Linked DNA regions of Arabidopsis thaliana. The protein of the gene in region 2 interacts with the protein of the main gene of each other region in a biochemical or structural test. Each region holds a gene or a part of one and is shown on either strand. Other genes may lie near its edges.

Region 1 (6,164 bases), on a different chromosome or scaffold from region 2:
AAAGAAAATGTAGGTCTAAAAACCCTAATTTTATGAAATACTCCGATTCGTCTACTTGTGATTGATTAGCTTCCCTACCTTATTCCTCAAGCAATACATTGATTCATGTTTCTCTCTTTAGTATCTTTTGGAACAAAAACTTCTTCGTTTGATCTTCTCTGACTGATCTTGACGGTCTCATGTAGGCTTTGTGATTGGATTTTTAAAGTCTCTAGCTCATCAAGAGACTTCATAAAGCCTATTAAGCGGGAGGACCATTAACGTTAAGCCCAATAAAGTAAAACATTATCATATAGTTTAGTTTTATGAAATGACCAGGTGATCTATGTATGATTTGCAATGGTCTGATTGTTTAGTGACTGTTAATACTTAAAATTTCTTCAAAATCCTACGAATAAATCTGTGAATTGAAAATCACCTAATCCTACTGCTAAGCGTGATTAACAGTTTTTTTCTAATGAAAACGACAATGCAAACATTATTTAAGATGCGACGAATCATCAAGAACCCAGTTTCCAAATTTTGCGATGCTTATTACTATATTGTTTTATAATGACCCCTTCTGCTTTGCATTTGAACATCAATGCAACTATTTTTTTTGTAGCCGGGTTGGTCTCGACTAGTTACAGAGAAGGAATCATTAGGTTCAGGCCAAGTATTGAAACCTTAAACCAAAACACATAAAGTTGGTCCGATTTGATTAACATCTCAGTTGAACAAAACAGCACCTAAGAGTCTGATGAAACAGGATCATGAACCAGAACCATGTACCCCTAACTGATATGGAAAGGTCCTAAAAGCTACCACCAATATCTCAAAAGACAAACCAGCCTTACAAAAACCAAGACTCCTCGCTAAAACCCGCATTAGTTTACCATAGGCGATAGATAGATAGACAATGGGTTTTCTTTACTCTTAAGGCTTGGAGGCACAAGTCATAACATGCGACTTGAACTTCTCCAATTCTGCCACGACTTCTTCTTCTGGTCTGTAAATCAAGTCACTCATCCGCCATATCTGCCATAGAAGAAAGTATAAACAACATTTAACGGTATGTCAATAAAATTGCTTATCAAGGTACCAAGAAAGATTTCAAGGTTACCTGCAATGTTCCACCTCCACCAGTAGTCTCACAGTCATCAGAAACACTGACAATAGTCCAAGGGTCTGAAGCATTCCAGTGGAAATCAACAACTTTGTCCCTAATATGGTTTATAAACAAGGGAACTTAGAAGCAAGTAAAATGAGAAAGCAATCAAGAAAAATCAAGATAAGTCTTTAAGAACCTGTGACCAGCATGCTGGAAGAAGAGCCCAGCGGGGCTTTTAGCTGCACGATCAGACTTCTTACTGACCTGATGGTTAATTAAACAAACCAAACATGAGTACAATGAATATGTTTCAGTGATGATAGTGAAGAAAGATTAATTTTAGACATCTGAGTGAACTATGTACACACCCTGTCATAATCCCAGATGTTCAAGAGACCATCTTCTGCAGAGCTCCCAAAGACGGATGACTTATCAGGAGACCACTGAATTGAATAACAAGATAGTGTCAGTGGGTTAAGAGATATACTTCATACAAAGAAGGAAAAAAAAAAAAAAAGTTGATTATACCTGAACACAAAGAACAGCAGCTTTGTGTCCCTCAAATTTGTAAATAGGCGAACCAACTCCATTAGCGGTAAGCTTCCTACGATCAAACAACCGGACAGTGTTGTCTGCTGACCTGAAATATTCATCAATTTCTTAATTAGATACTAAGTATGTATTAATCATCTATTTGTATGTATTTCTCCATACCCTGTCAGGATCAGATTGTCGTCATGAGGATTCCAATCAACACAATGAAGATCAGCATCATGCGCTTTTTCAACCTGGAAAACAAAAAAGTAAGATATAATATCAAAAGGAGGTAAATCTTCAAACTTTTGATAGGATTCAAAAGATAGAGTACCTTCGTGACAGGGTTTGTGCCAGTTCTCGCATCCCATAGTATAAGGCAAGAATCATCACCAACACTGCAGAATTCTTGTGCACTTCACGGTATAAAAGTTCACCAGAAGTATTATTAGAAAATCATGAAAATATCTGCAGTATGCATAAACAAACACGATATCAATAGAAGGAGTCTGTTCTAAGAAGTTACCTCGTCGGGCTGAATGCCACATCTTCAACTGTATCTTCATGGCCATGATATACACCTCGTGGGCCAACAGTAGGACTCTCATTCTTATCAGTACCTTCACCAGTCTGTTTGATGATAGATCCAGATGATTTGGAATCTGTCCCAATCGTTGTGATGTGATCTTGGATACTCCACAAAACAACTGACTTGTCCTTGCCTAAGAGAAGAACTTTTGTATGAGAAACTGGCAAACCACAGGATTGGACTCTACAAATTACAGAAACACAAACCTCCGGAGAGCACAAAGGGTTCCGTTGGGCACATGGCAAGAGCAAATTCAGCATTATCTTGGTGCCCAGTTAGTATCTGCATGAAAAATGGTTCATTCAGATGATGCAAACAAGAAGCACTATTTAAGAAGATATCAAAGAGATTTATCACTTCCAATGATGAGAAACAAACAAGAATAAAGCATAAAACAACATTCTCAGAAGTGGACATACCAAATCTGGACGGGAATTTGCAGCTCCAAGCACAGCATGACGGTTTGGTTGGGTTTCAACATCCCAAATGAGAACCTGAAATCAACATATTGTATTTAGATAACTCTGAAACTGGACATATGTCCGAACAAAGGATGCTCTTTGACTGCCAAATACAGAAATATGAAACCGACATATTTCAAGTTGCTATGACCATAACAAAATAGAAGCAGCACTCACATCAGGACTGTCGGTGTGAGTAGCAACAATCTTACTATTCTGTGGGAGTTCCCTGATTCTGTTAACCTGCAATTGCAAATTAGTAATGAATACACATCAAAATTTACTTTCACCAACGTGCCAAACGAATAACTTCATGGACAGATGAAACAGGGATGCAGATACAATTAACAAACCAAATAGAACTAAAAAGAACAATGTCAATACAGAAATATCTCAAGAGTGGGCAGAATTCACACCTCTCCAGGGTGAATGATGGTCTTGTACTTCTTCACAAATGGAGAACGTGCTTCTTCATTGAACTGAGAACACATTTTCAGAAGATAGTATATAAGTGTCAAACATGAAACCAATTGTAGTGTGGAGTAGGATATGGAAAGGACACAAGCTTAGTATTAAACCACATAATACCTGAGAAATGTGCTCTGCTGCAGCAACCCTTGGCTTAACAACTTCACAATTTGCTATGACCAAAGTATTGGGCACACTTCCATCAGTCTGGTGACACAACCAAGAAAAATACAAATAATACGATGAGAAGTATATAAAGAAGATGAGACAACAAGATACAAGAGAAAGCTAAAAACTTACTTGCTCTGAGAGGTACAGACGCTGGCGATTCTTGTAGGTTGCTTGCTCAAGCTGCGGACCCCATCTATAAAAAAATCAAACAACAATTCACCAAATGGAAACTCTTAGCACAACAACTAAAGACTTCATCAGATATAAACACTCAGAGAAACTGAAAATTCCTCTTAGTCATTAGTAACCAACAAGGTAATCAATAGTAACAATTCATGAATAGAACATCAGATATATCAAGGTATGAAGACAGAGCCACATCCAAAACCCTAACTAGAACAATCGCAACAATCTCACTTAAACCCAGAAATCGAGAAAATGTATGTGTAAGATTTTACTAAATTCATTCCAAACATGAGAATGTTCAAAGCTAAGAAACGATTACGAAACGAAACCCTAGAAGGAGAGGAAAGGAGAAAGGGGGAGACCTGCAAGAGAGTGAAGGCCAGACGAGGTTATGGTTAGCGAGCCAGTCGTAGAGAATGGGGACGAGACCTTTCCACTGAGAGTACTTCTCGTCAACACTCGGCGACTGCTGCGTTTTCTTCCCACTTTCTTTCATTTTAACATCGCTCTGTTGCTGAGACGACGGCGTCTGAGAATCTTCCTTGGTTTTAGGTTTCCGACCTCTCTTCTTCGGCCCAGAAGCTCCGGTTCCTCCGCTCGGTGTCGTTGCTTGAGGAGACACTGCTGCTGCTTCGTCGCTCTCCATTTTCCTCTCTCTCTTTTTAATTTTTCTTTTTTGGTCTTTGCTTTCAGTGTCTCTATATCTCTCTCTCTTCTGCTTTACAAATACAAACAAAACAACCACCGTTTACCATTTTTACTTTGGACATAATACCTGAATCCGAAAAAACCGATCTGAACCCGATCCAAAAATCCCAATCCAAAAATCCCAATCTAAATTCGAACCTGAAATTTTCAAATATCCGACTGAATCTAAACTTCAAAACCTGAAAAACCCGAACCCGAACTGGTACCCAAACATATCTTAAATATAAATATAACTAAAATATTTATATTTATATTTACATATAGACAATATTATGATTTTTCGGATATTTTAGTTACTTTTATGTATTTTTAAATATATTCAAGCAAAACTACTCGGGTTGTTTAGGGAATTTTTGAAATTTTCAAATAATTTAATAGATTCGGACACAAAATTTTGATATTTCAATATATAACTAAACCCGAAACCGAACCAAACCCGACCCGGAATCTTGAATTACTCGAACGGATCTTAAAATTCTAAACCCGAAAAACTCAAACCCAAAATACCCGACCGAATATCCAAACACCCATAATTATTATTTTTTAATTCAGTAAAATAAATACTTTATTGAATAATAATAAAAATTACGGATGAAATAATTAACAGTATAAATTAATTAATATAAGCGTCTCTTACATGGATTACTAACTTTATAATTCATATCCAAACTTGTTGTTCTTTCTTGTAGCTTCTTCTGAAAAAAAAAAAAAGAATAGATCCTCGTTGCATTTTGAAAAGTGATTTAAGAAGATTTCAATGTTTGTTTAATACTTGAACAATAAAGTCCAATATTGTTCAGAAGTATATGACTAAGCTTAGACTTGAACCCTAAGTTTGTTCTTGGTGTCTAAACTTAAAACATTCATTTCATTTGTTCTCTGCTGGCTAAACCTATAAAATTTACCTTTCATTTTATCTTCTTTATTTAAAACATAAAATTGTACTATTTCATATCCCTCTTTGTTCTATGTGAAAAGCTCAATTTTCACTCATGGATTCGACACCAAATAACTTTCTTTGGGACATTGAAAGCCTTAAAATATCTCGAGGTTATGATTTACATGTAGTTGTTCCAAGCTTGAGGCTTTTTCTCAATCCAGCATGGATTAATCTGATGAATATGGTAAATCCGAAAAAAACCTAAACGTCTGTTCGCTCTATTTAATATCTTAATTTTTTTTATTATGATTATAGTTTAGAACTTAAAAGTTATGTATAATCATGTCATTTTAAAATTTCGCTTCAAATCTCTATAATTCTTGGCATTGCACTTCTTATATCACTAGTTTTGACTATTAAGAAACGTTTTGTGCATAAAAATTCAGATTTTTTATGATCAACAAATTAAATAGTGTTAGAAATTTTGTTGTGATTATGAATTTTTTAAAATTCTAACACAATTTATTTGGTAGAGGTGCAAAATAGGTATTAAACAAAAATTTTAGATCTGCACAACATATATGTATACAAATATGTATATGAACTATGCAAATAAAAGAAAAAAAAAACTATTACTAAGATTACTAGGGAAAAATATTGACTCAAATCATCTAATTTATGTTTCTCATCTTACTAATATTAATGTTGATAGTATAGTGGTGTTTCATATATTCTCTAATTGCATATTACATATACATATTTGTATATTTACACCTATTTTCCTATTAACTTAATAAATAAATATTATTTTTTTTGGGACGAAATAAATTGTATTATTATCGTCATAAAACTGATAGGTACAATGAAATTAGTAACGCTAATGAATTTGTCGTCCAAAAATTAAAGATTTGAATTTTTTATACACAAAGTTTTTCGTGGTAGTTAGAGACATGTGATACAAGCATTTAAGATATTATGCATGTAAGGCAAACATGATTTTTAATCAAATGTCAAATATCATGAGTCAAAGATATACTAAACGAAACATAATATCTAGCTTTTTACAAAGCAATTTTC
Region 2 (5,222 bases):
TGCCTTCTTATATGATATGATACTTATGCCTTTTTTCTCGTTTGATAGGCTCCTTACACTACTTAAACAGTTAATGGATGGGAGTAAAATCCTAATTTTTGTGGAGACAAAGAGAGGGTGTGATCAAGTGACTAGACAATTGAGAATGGACGGATGGCCAGCTCTTGCCATACATGGTGACAAGACCCAATCGGAAAGAGACCGAGTCTTGGCAGAATTTAAGAGTGGACGAAGCCCGATAATGACTGCCACTGATGTAGCAGCAAGGGGACTTGGTAGGATTAACTGTGATACACAATAGGAGAGATTATACTTAGAGCATTTCGTTTTCTTGGGGTTTTAAAGATAATAAAAAAAGTCGCCTGGCTGCCGCTTTCCACAGTTTCCTCTGGTATTAGGGAAAAAAGCACATAGAAAGAAAAAAGGAGCTTCTTTGAAGAATTTGTTTCCTGCATCCATCTCCCGGGCATGGAGCTGATTGGTTTTTGAGCAGCCTGGGCGACTGACACCTGCATGCATTAATAGTGTTATAACGCCGTCCCAAACACTCCTTATCCCTGCAAGTTAAGGTGGGCACATTTACTTGGGAAAAATGTGTTGCTCTTAGTTTCTTGATCTTTCCAGATCTGCAGTTGTAGGGATAAGGGGTTCTTGTTCTCTATCCTCTCCTTAGCTAGGCTTTAAACACCAAACTCATTTACACAAAGAAATTTCTGTTCTTCTTCCTGCATTTCATCTCAGTCTATGATTTACTTCTCAACTGTGTTCCTTCTTTCTTCTTTTGTTTTGTTTTACAGATGTGAAGGACATTAAATGTGTGGTTAATTATGATTTCCCAAATACATTGGAGGATTACATCCATAGGATTGGTCGAACCGGGCGTGCAGGAGCTAAAGGAATGGCCTTTACATTCTTCACACATGACAATGCTAAGTTTGCGAGAGAGCTTGTCAAGATCCTTCAAGAAGCTGGTCAAGTTGTACCTCCTACTCTCTCCGCACTAGTCCGATCATCTGGTTCTGGTTATGGAGGTGAAACCTCATTTCTCTTCTCTCATTTGATGAGTTCAATCAATCTTGCTAAATTTTGGTACGAGGATCTGATTCAATTTTGTTGATTTGTTCAGGTTCAGGTGGTGGAAGAAACTTCAGGCCAAGAGGAGGAGGACGTGGTGGTGGGTTTGGAGATAAACGGTCAAGATCGACTTCAAACTTTGTACCTCACGGTGGAAAGAGGACTTGGTAAAGAGAATCCCATCATTTTGATTCTATGAGAAAACCTTTAATTATGATGATGATGATCAGCGTTTGGTTTCGACTAGAAGTTCTTTGTCGTAGAGAACAAACATTTACTATATAACTATTTAGCTGATTTCGCTGCTTCTTCTTCTTCTTCTTCATGATATTTCTAAACATTTTGCCTTTTTCTTAATTCTATCAACTAAATACACTTTACTACTTTACTCTCAAGTCAACCGTAACACTGTAATGAAACTTGTTTTTAAAAATCGGATGTGGATTATTAGGTTGGGAGATTCAAGTATTGCGAATAGAATTTAGACAAATGTAAGCATCTATAACATCTAGAACATGTATATCTTCTCTTTTTTCCCAACAACATCTAGTTACGAATCCTTAAGGTGAAATGTGTAAATAGATCATACTTAGCTAAAAAACCCTTTACATTTATTTGTCTAACATTGTCTACCATTAGGAAAACAAGTTAAAAATAATTCGCTATGTTTGAATCGAATTTGGAATTATATAATCGATCGTTAGTTTAACATTCAGTAATTATTAAAATTAAATTTTTAACGCAAAGATAATAATGTAAGTAATCATTAATGTGCGTGTATATATAAGCTGTGCCCACAACTCCTAGTAATGACTTTCTCAGGCATTGTTGACACAAATTTTGCTCTGAGTAAAACTTGGGAATAGAGAGAGACTCTGAGTGAGAGAGAGATTCTGAGTGAGAGACGGAGATGGAGGCAGACGAAAGCGGCATCTCTCTGCCGTCGGGACCCGACGGACGTAAGCGGCGAGTCAGTTACTTCTACGAGCCGACGATCGGAGACTACTACTACGGTCAAGGCCACCCGATGAAGCCTCACCGGATCCGTATGGCTCATAGCCTAATCATTCACTATCACCTCCACCGTCGCTTAGAAATCAGTCGCCCTAGCCTCGCTGACGCCTCCGATATCGGCCGATTCCATTCGCCGGAGTATGTTGACTTCCTCGCTTCCGTTTCGCCGGAATCTATGGGCGATCCTTCCGCTGCACGAAACCTAAGGCGATTCAATGTCGGTGAGGATTGTCCTGTCTTCGACGGACTTTTTGATTTTTGCCGTGCTTCCGCCGGAGGTTCTATTGGTGCTGCCGTCAAATTAAACAGACAGGACGCTGATATCGCTATCAATTGGGGCGGTGGGCTTCACCATGCTAAGAAAAGCGAGGCTTCTGGGTTTTGCTATGTAAACGACATCGTGCTAGGGATTCTGGAGTTGCTCAAGATGTTTAAGGTAAATGCTCCATTCCTTCTTTATGATCTCATCATAGAGAACTTCTTCATGTTCTTCTGAAATTTTTAGGGTTTAAGCTTATCTTGAGTGGTTTTTCTTAAATCTACCTGAAACCTTGAAGCCTTGTGTGATTATCGAATGAGCTTTGATCCTTTCATGTTCCTAAACTGCATATTACCTTTAGAATCTCATGTTAGGTCAAGTGCATCAGGTGTTTCTGATAAGGATGTTGATTTGTTTGAGAATGGTTTTCTACATTGCCTCTTTGTTTTCATCGTCTGGTTCTTTAAGTTTCTCTAATTAGGATTCCGTTGCTTTGTTAATGTATTCTGATAGCATCATTCAAAATGTTGATTGAGTGTGGAACGATGTTTCCATTGCTTACATCTTAATGCTTTCATCAAATTTTGTTTGCAGCGGGTTCTCTACATAGATATTGATGTCCACCATGGAGATGGAGTGGAAGAAGCGTTTTACACCACTGATAGAGTTATGACTGTTTCTTTCCACAAATTTGGGGACTTTTTCCCAGGAACTGGTCACATAAGAGATGTTGGCGCTGAAAAAGGGAAATACTATGCTCTAAATGTTCCACTAAACGATGGTATGGACGATGAAAGTTTCCGCAGCTTGTTTAGACCTCTTATCCAGAAGGTTATGGAAGTGTATCAGCCAGAGGCAGTTGTTCTTCAGTGTGGTGCTGACTCCTTAAGTGGTGATCGGTTGGGTTGCTTCAACTTATCAGTCAAGGGTCACGCTGATTGCCTTCGGTTCTTAAGATCTTACAACGTTCCTCTCATGGTGTTGGGTGGTGGAGGGTATACTATTCGAAATGTTGCCCGTTGCTGGTGTTATGAGGTCTTTTCCATCTCCTTTGCAGTTCTTCTATGTTTTTTGATAATCATATAGGTTTTTGTTCTTGAAAGTGTTTGTTTCTGTTGCCTCATCGCAGACTGCAGTTGCTGTTGGAGTAGAGCCGGACAACAAACTCCCTTACAATGAGTATTTTGAGTATTTCGGCCCAGATTATACGCTTCATGTCGACCCAAGTCCTATGGAGAATTTAAACACGCCCAAAGATATGGAGAGGATAAGGTAATATCTCCTACTTTCCATTTTTATGGTCATTGTACTTCAGTTGCCACTGAACTTCTAGCTAGTCCACTCTAATTTAGTAATTTTAACATGCTAATGATGCTCCCTCGAGATTGTAATTCTGTATGTAACATATGAGTTTATCTTTGTGCCGGTTCCAAATAGTTAACGAAAGCTTTACATGTTCAGTAGCTTACCTTCTTAGCCTTGTCAATGGGATATATTGAACTTAGAGAAAGTTACTTTTTGAAATTTCAGGAACACGTTGCTGGAACAACTTTCGGGACTAATACACGCACCTAGCGTCCAGTTTCAGCACACACCACCAGTCAATCGAGTTTTGGACGAGGTAATTTTTCAGTCATCCATTTCTCTCTTTGATGTTTTTAGTTGCGTTCTGTCCTATTGACTACCAACTTATTAAATCTGCTATCTCAAATCCTTAGCCGGAAGATGACATGGAGACAAGACCAAAACCTCGCATCTGGAGTGGAACTGCGACTTATGAATCAGACAGTGACGATGATGATAAACCTCTTCATGGTTACTCATGTCGTGGTGGCGCAACTACGGACAGGTAATTAAAAACCTTCCTCCTACTCAAATCTACCAACACTTGAATTGATCCTCATTGTCTAACTTCTTAACAGGAGATAAATAATTTAATTGATGTCTCTTAAAATCTACAGGGACTCTACCGGTGAAGATGAAATGGATGACGATAACCCAGAGCCAGACGTGAATCCTCCATCGTCTTAAACCAGCTTGATGGTTTGGTGTCTCTTTTGCCATATGATAATGTCGGCAGATTTAAGAAACAAGTTAGGGGAATGAATGATTCTTTGATGTTTTTTCAGCAACCTTTTGAGTTCTGTGAAAACGCTGCATTGATTAGAACAGTGACAACTGACTAGTATTTTGGCCCAAGTTAGAAAATCAGAATATGTGAAAAATGCAAAGAAACTTTTTAAAAAAAATATGGGCTTTTACTTCTTCTTTTTTTTTTACTTTCTCCGAAGTTGTTGTTACCAAACCGAAGAAAACCGATTGCAATAGACCCTAAAATTAAACCATTGAAGCTGTTACTAAACCGAACGGATTTAAACAAACCACTGAAGTCTCATCATCACCCAAATTCATCGAAATTTTCCCGGTAACTAAGAACAGGCATGGCCAGGGAGCTTGTGTCTCTTCAATACCTCCGACCTCCACTTCACATTTCTCGTCAATTTCTAAACCTCTCTTCTCCTCCTTTAACTCTCAATCTCCGGCCAAAACCTCCGCAAAATCCAATCTTTATCCGAACCGACTCTCACCGCAACAAAACTTCCGCCGACGATAACGGAATCCCAGCAGAGGACGTCAAAACCATCGCCAAATTCAAATCCCGTCACAATTACATCAGAGTCATCGAAGTTTCACGAAAAACCAATCACCCACTCGCTGGTTCTCGTCTCCTCCTTCTCGATAATCCCGGTAACATCCATAGCATCTCTTTCCTTCTTAAAACCTTAACCGATAGTTACTTCGACGTTTTCGCTACTCTGCCTCCGATTATACCTCCCGGACCAATTGGTATTCTCGGATTCGGAGCTGGTTCAAC
Region 3 (3,181 bases), on a different chromosome or scaffold from region 2:
CCCAAATCTGTCTGGAATGCGGACAATGAAAAAGGATGTGATTAATAGTCTCCTCTTCCGCTCCGCAACGAGGACATCCTTTATCTGTGCCAATATGTCGGTAGACAAGTCTTTGACAAGTGGCTAGACACCCCGTGATACATTGCCACGCAAAATGCATAAGGTTTCGCGTAGTTTTAAGCTTCCATACTTGTGCCTGAAGTGCAAAAACACTCGGTCCCTAAAAAGGGAGGTCACAAGTAGGACGAGACAAATCTCGCGCAGCCCAATACCCGGATTTAATTGTATAATTTCCGGATTTAGTGTGGGACCAACTAAATCCATCAAGATAGTGCTTATCTCTTCCAAATACGACTAACATGTTGTTACTAAGATGTTATTACGATGATTTGTGCTTAGTTGACAGAATGAGTCATATATCTTGTGAAAATTGGGATAGTCAAAACTCTTTTGTCAAATTAACGGATAATAGTTAATAGTGGTGTTTAATCTGAGTATTTGTTTGAGTTTCTGATTTATGAATCTAGTATATGTCAATTGGTACAATCAAAGAACCACATTATATATCACTCACACCATTTTTTTAAAAGATTGAATCAAGAACACACATTGTTAAGAGAACACTTAAACAAAACTAGTGGCTCTCCTCTCTTTCTCTTAATATGTGTTCGGTCTTAACACGTGATAGGTAGAGAGTATTAATTAGACAGGGTATATACTAGTTAATTGGAGATACTTTCAACCAATCCGCTGTAGCACACATGTTTATTTCAATGATGAAATCTGGGTTCAAACCCGGCAGCGGAATAGTTTTTTTCTTTCATTTTGGTAAAGGACCGATCCAAATATACCTTAACAAGTTGACTTTGCAAGAAAAAACCATTGGAGAAGAGCAGAGTTTTGATCTTTGATGAGCTTTGTGTTGAATGCGATTCATGAAGGAATTTCTTGGCTGCAAGTTTCTTTCATCAAGATTTGTGCGTCTAGTTATGGTATGAAGCTAATACCAATATTTTGCATATCATTTTGTAGTTGAAAGAAATCTTATAACAGAAATTTTGAGTTCATTCTTCAAGATTTAGATAAGTCTTCAACTTGTTGAGAATTCTATGACAAACACTCATGGTATTCACTTTGGAGATTAAATCAAGAACACACGTTTTACGAGTTTTTCGAGATCGATATGATCCTAGTACATTTCAGCAAGAACAACACCTTGTAATTTACCATCAGTGGAGTTTTTGAGTTATAGAAAAAAAGGAGAAAACAAAAAGACTAGATATACAAGAGCTTTGGAGCTCAAGGGCTTTATAACAATATGGTTTTCAGTTAGAATAATAATCGTCACCTCCTTACAACGACATTGCTTCATTCTAGCTAAAGCACACATCCTTACGTTGTCCTGTAAAAATGCTTCAAACCAGAACATTCCAACAAAAATAGAGTCTCGTCTCTTCTTACGGTTAGTACACAGTAATTGTTTCTATTAATTCAATGGAGTTATGTTCAACATATCCACTATACCACATTTGGATTCAAACCCTTATAGTAGAATATGTTTTTTTTTTTTTTCCAAGTGCATTCAACTTGTCCAAATAATAATAATGTAAAAAAACAATTTTTAAATTTTTTAAAATATATGGATAGTAAAAAAAGAGATCTGAGAATTTACCTTTTTTTATGGTAGCTGAAAAGTAAAAGTAAAATATACTCCATAGTTATACTAATTATTTTCGATATCCATTGTAATTTAGTACATATAACCGGTCCGGTTGACTCACTTGGTTCAAAAGGAAAAATCAAAAATCCACAATCCGTGACTAACATAATAACCCAATCTACAACCGTCGATTCATTAATAATCAAGGATCCATATATCTCATAAACCTTTCTCACGGATCGTTATCTTTGACCGTCCGATCAAACAATAAAACGAACGGTCACGATTCATTTTCTAACCCAAACAATCTTCTTTATAAATAAAAAATAAATTCTTCTCTACTCATCAGAAAACTCAAATCTTAAAACTTTCTGGAAAAACAAAAATGTCAGGAAGAGGAAAAGGAGGAAAAGGGTTAGGCAAAGGAGGAGCAAAGAGACACAGAAAGGTTCTAAGAGACAACATTCAAGGAATCACAAAGCCAGCGATTCGTCGTCTTGCTCGTAGAGGAGGTGTGAAGAGAATCAGTGGATTGATCTATGAAGAAACGAGAGGTGTGTTGAAGATTTTTCTGGAGAATGTGATTAGAGATGCTGTTACTTACACTGAGCATGCGAGGAGGAAGACGGTGACTGCTATGGATGTTGTTTATGCCTTGAAGAGACAAGGAAGAACTCTATATGGATTTGGTGGTTGATCAATTTGAGATCTGGGTTTTCTGGTGAATGATGATGATTTAAGTCTTGCGATCAAGAAATTCCAGAAATTGGGTTGAATTTTAGGGTTTCGTTTTGTGTTGTAATTAGGGCAGCATTGTAATGGATTAATGATAAGTACCATTTGCTCTAATTACTCTTTAATCTCTGAAATTCATGGTAAAGGATTATCAATCGAAAACTAATCAAAGGAATTGATTGAACTATGTTTTTGAAGATTGAAAAACAAATAAGGACTAAATGTGAGCAATTTAAAGTTTAGAGGTATAAGAATCGAATGACAAATATGGACTCAATGTGAGCGTTTTAAAGTTCTTAGCTTTATATATAAGATTCATACACTTAATTGGCTTATAATATTTCTTGCAAAAAATCATTTTCGCATTCCCTAGTGTAAGAATTTGTTGTGAAAATTATTCAGAGTTTTGTGAAATCTAATGACACGTCATCGATCCAACACATATTTGTAACGATACATTCATCACCGTCAGATCAAATAAAATGAACGGTTAATATAAACAAGAAAACAGTTTCTAAAACAAAAAAGAAAGGGCCCTACCGGATTCGAACCGGTGACCTATTGATCTGCAGTCAATTGCTCTACCACTGAGCTAAGGACCCTTATTGATTAATTAATATCAATTACATACATATAACCCATAGATATGACGAAAATGTCATCAACATTGTTCTTCGATTTCTTCTACAACACCTTCAATACCAAAACATGATCGTAATAAAGAAACAGAAGCAATGACCATAACTCCTGCGAATATCGTTGGTAAAAAAACGTCTAAATATGAAT
Region 4 (7,498 bases), on a different chromosome or scaffold from region 2:
ATTAAAGAAATTCGAAAGAACTCTCTCATGGTAAGTACAATCACCAAGAAGAGTGAAGGAGAAAAAGGCATTAAAAGACTTACAAATCAGGGTTTGCATCAATCTTGTTGAAAAAATCTCCACTAGTAGGATATAAAGAGCTCATTAATCTGTTCAAAACAACGTCCGTGTCCACGTCGAAGTATTGGGTATATGAGTAGACATTAAAAAAGCCCTTCCAGTTGTTTGATGGCTGTTGTGCTGGTCCTTCTACTGGAGCAGATAAGATATATCACCATATAAGACAGAACAAGGTGAAAACAAAGGTATATAGGATCTTGACATCCATAAGAAAAACGAGGTTGACTCACACAAGTATTCTTTCAACCATTGTACTGATTCATGGTGACTACAGATAAAAATATCTCCTAAAAAAGGAATCTAAAAGGAGCATATATACCTGTTGGGCTCTCAAGAGTTTGATAACCCTTTGTATTGTTTCCTAGATTCGGTGGAAATATTTGCATGCTTGCAGAAGGGCCTGCAATAATGCAGAAGACATACAACACTCAATGTCTTTCACTACCGGAAAAGTTCTTTGCAAAAGATAATTCAAGCAGAAACTAGCAAAAGAACACACCTTCATTGACGCTTGCTATTGGTACATTTGTGCTTCTCTTGTCGTCGCTGATCACAGCCTAAGAATACAGATGTTTGTATCAGACATAATAACACGGGGATAGTCAATCCATTCACTCAAAACATTTATCTTAGCGGATTCAATCCAAAATGAAGCTATCATGCAAGCATTTAAACTCAAATACAGTTTTGTTTTTCATACGAATTGTCTCCTAAAATGGTGAAAAAACTTAAATAAAACGCCTTAACAAATATAGAAACCCAGAAATGCAAATAAGGAAATCGTCCATTGTTCTATGAGTGTGAAGACTTTAGGCATCATCGTGGACGCGAAAAAATATGACAAAAAAATCTGAAAAGTTTCAAAATTCTACTTCCTAATGTAACACTTGAGACAGAACAACAAACAAAATGATGGCATGAACAAAAAACGTTAATTTTCCCTTCACACAAACAAGGATCATAGAAAAACTCAATCAAAGAGCTTATTGATGGTGAAATGAAAGAAGCAATAGATGTAATATAGACTTACCGGAACTGAACCAAGCAAATGGCTTGATTGTAGATTAGCGAACGACTCATCCATCGATCAAAGAGAAAAAGATATCAAAGAAAAACTTAGAAGATAGGTTCTTCTAATCTCATTCAAAAATCGATAAGATCGGAAAAAAGGTCGTCCCTTTTTCTGAATTTTTAAGGTTTCTGGGTTTGCTTCTCCTCCTCCGTCGTCGTGGAAGCAATTGGGAAAGGAAGAGAAACTAAAGAAAGAACGATCCACGCGCTTTCTTAGCAAGTCGGTAAAACACGCGCTGTTCACTTTCGGACACGTGATTTGCCGACTTGGGCCCAGACAATCACAAGATTCACACAAGACTTCAAAAACAAAGGCCCATATTTAAATTTTGACCCGAATCGTGATTTGCCGACTTGGGCCCAGACAATCACAAGATTCACACAAGACTTCAAAAAGAAAGGCCCATATTTAAAATTTGACCCGAATTAAACAATCCGACTTGACCCGTTTGAGGAGAAATTCACTCAACAGTGTTTCCTCTCTTCGTCTTCCCTCCCGAGAAAGCTCAACGGAGCCCTAGACTGGTTTTATCACTCTCGCCAACACCAACCACGCTTTTTCTCTCTTTACCTCCATTTTTGTATTCGTCACCGGAGTAGATGGATACGAGAGAAATCAACGGTTTTGCCTCCGCCGCGAGATCGATATCTCTTCCTACGCAGCCTAATTACAGTAGCAAGCCTGTTCAGGTTCTTCCGCTTTATACCTTTTTATTTCTCCACTGAATTAGTTTAGCTCAGGTCTTAGGATTTCTAGGTTCAGCTTAAAAAAATGGGTTTTGCAGAGCTTAGAGTTAATTTCGAATTTATTGTTTGTAACTTACAGGAGGCGTTGAAACATTTGGCATCTATAAACCTCAGAGAATTATGTAATGAGGCAAAAGTTGAGCGATGTCGTGCAACAAGAGACTTAGCTAGCTGTGGAAGATTTGTGAACTATGTGTTGAATCCATGTGGTCATGCCTCCTTGTGCACAGAGTGTTGTCAGAGGTGTGATGTTTGTCCTATCTGTAGAAGTACGCTACCAAAATTTGGAGATAGACTTAGGCTTCGTCTCTATTATGAGTGTGTTGAAGCTGGTTTGATTTCCCGAACACATGAAGAGGCGTCACAGGATTCGGATGAGGATGAACATCAATTGGCAGCTGATGTTCATCGCCTTTATTCTCTGTTTGATGTTGCTATGAACAATAATTTGATCTCGGTGGTTTGCCATTGTATCCTTCAGTTGCATTTATGCTTGGTGTCTGATATATGCATTTAGTCTTTTAGTTTCCTGTTTGATACTTTCATGAATTTCTTTTAGATTCGTATGCTTGTGCTATTAGGAACTGTGTTTATATGGGGAGTTTTGTACTGATAGGTTCATGTATTTTTAGGTAGTTCTTGTTTCATGCTTGTCTCTGTTGGGCGAAATGTGCATAGTGTTTTTGTCATTCATTCTCTAAGAGGTATTTTATGTTGGATGCATAGTTGACATCTCCTTGACAGAAAATTAATAGATATCACCAATGTCTGTATGGATGAGACAGCTGTATCTAGTGATCCGGTCATTGCTTTCTTGCTGGATGAAGTTGTTGTCAAGGATTGGGTCAAGCGTACATTCCGGAGCACCTTAGCTGAACTTCAAGAAATCTGTATCCTTTTAGCTGTTAATATTTTTATGTTTCTTAAGACTGTATATTTGTGCACCGTAAGGTCTGTCTATCTTTAATATTGGCCCTCAGATAATCTTGAAACAAAAGAGATGCAAGCGTGGTTAGATAAACTCCTAAGGTGTTCCAAACAGGTGGCTGGCATATGTAGTGTGCTCGAAGTTATGGAATCAGCTTTTAAGGGTTCTGTGTCACCTCAGCTTCAAGATGTGCAGACGCTGAGAGAGAACATTGGTAAAACAAAGCAGGTCAGCCATGATTTCATTTCATTGATATCCAAACAGTTTTGCAAAAGTATGCTTAAATAACTCTCTTTATCCCCCTTAGAAATATCCGTTGTACATTGAAGTTTCCTACGTGCATTAATGTTTAGTTTGCCTCTGTCATAGAATGAGTTACTTGTTTTGTATACGGCTTGCAGTAAAGTTTGTACTGTAAAAGCTTTGCATTTAGATGTATGAAAGGCACGATAATGGTCTTCCATCATCAGCTTGGATCTGATTTTCTATCCCTAGCTTTGTGACTTTATTCTTCTTTTCTTTTTTAATGTCATTGCATATTAGTGAATGTAGATGGGGTATATGTAACCTATCTTTATATGACATACTGAATAGTAAATGAGTATAACCTTATGGCTTCTGACCAGAGAGTGTTTTAAATAGATCAGCTCTTTAGCTATTGGTGCAAGATCACTGAGCTTACGTGTGCTTACCCTATTCTTTTTATTTTATTTCAGCATTTGGACATAATGGTCTGGTGCATCAGACATGGATTTCTGGATGATGTGAGGTCTCGATATTCGAATTTCACATCGTGGAATGCACTGGTAGGGGAAAGAAAATCAAATGCAGTTAAGCGTGCATGGCCTGATGCTGTAGACCAGTCTTCAGATTGCAGTGTACAGAGTGCTTCCCTCTTTATTGAGGATGCTTTAGAAAATCTTGAGAGAGAGCCAGAATACAGTCAGGAAATAGGTGCCGACCTAGAAGTTGGACGTTTACAGAAGGATAAGAGATCATTTCTTAGGTCCAAAATAGAGGGAACTTCAGGATCTTATCCATTTGAGAATCTTAGAACTGCTGCTGACATGCTCTTTTTACATGGCGGTTCAGATTTGGTTGTTGCGAAGCAAGCAATTGTATCCTTTTGTCATCGCCTAGTTTCACATTACATTGCACTTTACTTTTAATGAATACTTGAATCAGGAAACATTCCCATGTTTTTCCTTTACGCTGGTTTCCTTAACCAGAAGATAGTTTCTTTACTACCTGTTTGATCGGCATTGGACTACCCCTGAAAAATATTGGAAGCACACTATAGATGATTTTGCTGCTACGTTTGGCATAACGAGGCATTCATTGCTGGAGTCTTTTGTATTTTATCTTCTCGATGATCACTCAGAGGAGGCACTCCAGGTATCTTTTGGCATTCCCAAGGAAAACTTATAGAAACGTGTATTTTATTGTGCCATACATTTATTAATTGGTGTAGCTTACAAACTTTCCAAATTATATTTCAGGAAGCTTGTAGGATTCTACCTGAAATATGCGGTCCAGAAACCTACCCCAAAGTTGCGCAAGTCCTGTTAGAAAGGGATAACCCTGAAACAGCTCTTATGGTCTTGCGTTGGTCTGGTCGTGATGGTGTATCAGAATTGGTTTCAATTGGTGAAGCTGTCACAGCTCTTCGTGTGAGAGTGGAATGTGGTCTTTTGAGTGAAGCATTCACATACCAAAGGACACTCTGCTTGAAAGTAAAGGAAAATAATTTGAAAAATGGAGCTGTGAAACATGCGTCTGATGATCTAGACATCTGGAGTTGGACGGAATGGATGGAGATACTTGTCAATGAATTCTGCTGTCTTTCTATTCGGAGAAACTTGGTTGATCGAATCATTGAGTTACCGTGGAACCCAGATGAGGAGAAATATCTGCACAGATGCTTATTAGATTCGGCAACTGATGACCCCTCATCAGCTGTGGGTAGTCTCTTGGTTGTCTTTTATCTTCAGGTAAGTAATTATATTTTCAAACTTTAAATAACTTCACTTGAACAATGGGCTGAGAATTGTTTTTCAGAACGAGAATAGCTTTAGCAACAGGCAAATAGATATTTAGACAGCAGCTTAAACCTCCCGAGCTTTAAGCTACATATTGAAAATTTTAATAAGGGATCTCAATGATGGCTCTGTATAGAATTAGCTCATTCTATAGAGACTGGTATATGTTCTCGTATTTGATGTGTGGCTTCAACAATCTTTTATAATTCGAGCTTGGTGTAGTCTGGGATGTTGGTTAACAAGCATGAAATTATTTGAACAACCAGGGAAACTGCATCACTATAGACCATGCTTATTTTCTGGAAAGTTATTATCTTTTGTATATGGTCTTTCTTTGACTAGAAATTACTGGTTGTTCACATTGCTGCAGCGCTACCGTTACATCCAGGCATACCAAGTCGATCTTAGGCTTCAGAAAATCGAAGAGGCTTTCGTATCCGACAATCAAATTGGGGAAGAAGTTATGTTCAGAATGCGATCACAGAGTCATTGGAGAAAAGAGTTAGTTGTAAGTATTTCAGCCAACTTTCCATGTACAAGTGGATCCTTCCATAGTTCCTTGTTAAAGGCTACATCCTCACATTTGCGTTTTAGTGCTTAATAACCTGTTGATGCTTGCAGGATTGTCTAGTATTCTGAAACTTGAATGTACAATATTACTTGATACTGGCTTTTTTTAACTGGACATTTAAACCTCCCGTGTCTCTGCTCCTTTGAAACAGGATAGAGCCATAGATATACTTCCAGTAATTCAGCAGCAGCAAGTTAGATCTGGACAATTTTCTGAGATGGAAGATGCCTCTGAAGGAGCAAAAAAATCTGATCTTCCTGATGCACCTGACATGATTACTTCTTCAGTTCCCTTTGCCACTACTAATTCCGTTTTTCTCCAAAGTGCTAACAATGCCAGAGCTAGAGAGCCAGTGGCTAATAATGGCAGTCCTTTTCAACCTGGTCATATGATAGGAAACGCGTCCCATGATCTTTCACATGGAAGGTTATTTACAAACGCAAATAGAGGACAAAAGAGTGAAGTTAGAAGCGTAACCAAGAATCTGAAATTCGGTGAAATGTCAACTCCGTTCAAAGATCTAAATAGAGCTCGTGGGAACAGCCAGCTCCAAGGGAAAAGGACTGAAGAATCCTCTCCAGAAGTAAATGTTGATAGATACATAGAGAATAATATGAGCTCTCCTTATCTCCGCCGAATCACAGCTAACAATCCCGTGACAGTGAAATCTAGCAGCAACCATCTCAATGGATCTTCACAGAAACCGGAATCCACCTTTTTTGGCACAAGGATGCAACCAGACAAAGATAACTTTGTTGATTTGGATGATCCAATGGACATGTCTTCGAGGTATTCCTCTCTTCTTTATCTCTTAGCCATTTGTTCCTTTCTGAATCGTGCCATTAAAGTAGAGGACACTGGTATTGTTTGGTATAAAACTATTGTTACCGTTTGGTTTGAAAATAAAGTCCAGTTTGGTTTCAGTCTAAGGAACTTTGTTTGGTTCTTATGTCCACGGCTTTTAGTCTTATATTGGATGAGCTACATATCAATTGTGTGTATTATGAATTGCAGCTTAAAGGACAACAACAACAATGTCTTGGCCACGGAGAGCAGAAATAACAGTGGTGGATTGAGATGGCGGTCAGATGAAACAAGCGATGACGAAGATGAACTGACTAGTTTTGGTTCCATGCCGGTGAAGGGAAGGAGGAGACGTAGATTCGCAGCAAGATGAAATGAAACAAACACTCGAAAAGACCATCATCAATTATGTTTAAAGCATAGAGAAAGAGAGAGAGAGGTAGAGCAAGTTGTGTAAAGAGGGGAGAGAGACTGTTACAGTGAGCGTTGTTCTCCTGTTATTTTTTGTGCTGAATTTTGTGTATTTCTTCTCTAGTCTACCTTTTTTGGACAGTTATTTTAAAGATATCATTGTGATGAGCGGAGTGATATTATTATTATGAGTATGTTTAATTTCTTATATTGGTGCAGCTGATTGTTGAATCGTAGAAGTTATAACAACACATTGAGATTAAATCATTTTCTTTTTACATTCACAATTTCCTCTCAAAATTTTAATTTTTAACTTTTTTATTATTTACCAAAACTAATAAATGGAAATAAGTAGCATAAGCTTGTTCCAAGTTTCTGATATATAAATAGGGTTTTCGGAAGAGAGAATAGGGTCTCTTCCTATCGTTCCGTCACTTTTTGTTCCGATTTGTCGACAAGGTAAACCTTAAAACTAAATCTTTCAATATAGCATAACCAATGATCCGAAAACCTAAATCTTTCATTCTCTGTTTCTGCCTTGGATCTGTATTGAAATTCATAATCTCATATTAGGTTTTCGTGTTACTTAATTCCGCAGGTGTTTGTTGGATCCATATCATGGCGACTCGTGAGTTTCCCTTAAGCTTTAGCTTTTTATACGATGCTTTCTTTTCAAGTTGCTTACAGGATTGTTCTTTTTTTTTCTGTTCTTGTTTTTGGCAGGTCTTCAATATGATAACAATAATTGCGAAATTGGTGTCTTTTCCAAACTCACAAATGCTTATTGTCTCGTTTCCGCAACATCTG

What was found.
Region 1: the proteins of HDA6 (region 2) and FVE form a complex in vitro, tested with the Arabidopsis thaliana proteins (2 studies listed by BioGRID).
Region 3: of the proteins of HDA6 (region 2) and HIS4, one has a biochemical effect on the other in vitro, tested with the Arabidopsis thaliana proteins (one study listed by BioGRID).
Region 4: the proteins of HDA6 (region 2) and HOS1 form a complex in vitro, tested with the Arabidopsis thaliana proteins (one study listed by BioGRID).

The regions. Positions count from the first base shown.
Region 1 is NC_003071.7:8,453,987-8,460,150, reverse strand, and holds FVE (Transducin family protein / WD-40 repeat family protein), read right to left. Parts: upstream 4,396-6,164; 5' UTR 4,146-4,395; coding exon 3,862-4,145; intron 3,507-3,861; coding exon 3,443-3,506; intron 3,350-3,442; coding exon 3,263-3,349; intron 3,154-3,262; coding exon 3,091-3,153; intron 2,918-3,090; coding exon 2,852-2,917; intron 2,708-2,851; coding exon 2,633-2,707; intron 2,496-2,632; coding exon 2,420-2,495; intron 2,347-2,419; coding exon 2,151-2,346; intron 2,041-2,150; coding exon 1,959-2,040; intron 1,879-1,958; coding exon 1,805-1,878; intron 1,731-1,804; coding exon 1,619-1,730; intron 1,534-1,618; coding exon 1,459-1,533; intron 1,355-1,458; coding exon 1,287-1,354; intron 1,203-1,286; coding exon 1,103-1,202; intron 1,018-1,102; coding exon 916-1,017; 3' UTR 509-915; downstream 1-508. UniProt on the Arabidopsis thaliana protein: Core histone-binding subunit that may target chromatin assembly factors, chromatin remodeling factors and histone deacetylases to their histone substrates in a manner that is regulated by nucleosomal DNA.
Region 2 is NC_003076.8:25,314,990-25,320,211, reverse strand, and holds HDA6 (histone deacetylase 6), read left to right. Parts: upstream 1-1,864; 5' UTR 1,865-1,984; coding exon 1,985-2,524; intron 2,525-2,941; coding exon 2,942-3,382; intron 3,383-3,476; coding exon 3,477-3,619; intron 3,620-3,877; coding exon 3,878-3,968; intron 3,969-4,065; coding exon 4,066-4,196; intron 4,197-4,308; coding exon 4,309-4,378; 3' UTR 4,379-4,706; downstream 4,707-5,222. Other genes in the region: AT5G63120 (P-loop containing nucleoside triphosphate hydrolases superfamily protein), read left to right, coding at 49-275, 798-1,031, 1,127-1,245; AT5G63100 (S-adenosyl-L-methionine-dependent methyltransferases superfamily protein), read left to right, coding at 4,789-5,222. UniProt on the Arabidopsis thaliana protein: Responsible for the deacetylation of lysine residues on the N-terminal part of the core histones (H2A, H2B, H3 and H4). Might remove acetyl residues only from specific targets, such as rDNA repeats or complex transgenes.
Region 3 is NC_003071.7:12,328,819-12,331,999, reverse strand, and holds HIS4 (histone H4), read left to right. Parts: upstream 1-1,940; 5' UTR 1,941-2,045; coding exon 2,046-2,357; 3' UTR 2,358-2,655; downstream 2,656-3,181. Other genes in the region: AT2G28725 (forkhead box protein G1), read right to left, coding at 3,057-3,181. UniProt on the Arabidopsis thaliana protein: Core component of nucleosome. Nucleosomes wrap and compact DNA into chromatin, limiting DNA accessibility to the cellular machineries which require DNA as a template.
Region 4 is NC_003071.7:16,611,150-16,618,647, forward strand, and holds HOS1 (ubiquitin-protein ligase), read left to right. Parts: upstream 1-1,627; 5' UTR 1,628-1,791; coding exon 1,792-1,881; intron 1,882-2,017; coding exon 2,018-2,408; intron 2,409-2,693; coding exon 2,694-2,828; intron 2,829-2,918; coding exon 2,919-3,094; intron 3,095-3,582; coding exon 3,583-3,984; intron 3,985-4,102; coding exon 4,103-4,261; intron 4,262-4,365; coding exon 4,366-4,857; intron 4,858-5,275; coding exon 5,276-5,413; intron 5,414-5,627; coding exon 5,628-6,265; intron 6,266-6,490; coding exon 6,491-6,653; 3' UTR 6,654-6,973; downstream 6,974-7,498. Other genes in the region: AT2G39805 (Integral membrane Yip1 family protein), read right to left, coding at 84-252, 440-520, 620-677, 1,151-1,204; eIF6B (Translation initiation factor IF6), read left to right, coding at 7,310-7,319, 7,415-7,498. UniProt on the Arabidopsis thaliana protein: E3 ubiquitin-protein ligase that mediates ubiquitination and subsequent proteasomal degradation of the transcription factor ICE1. Acts as a negative regulator of cold signaling pathways.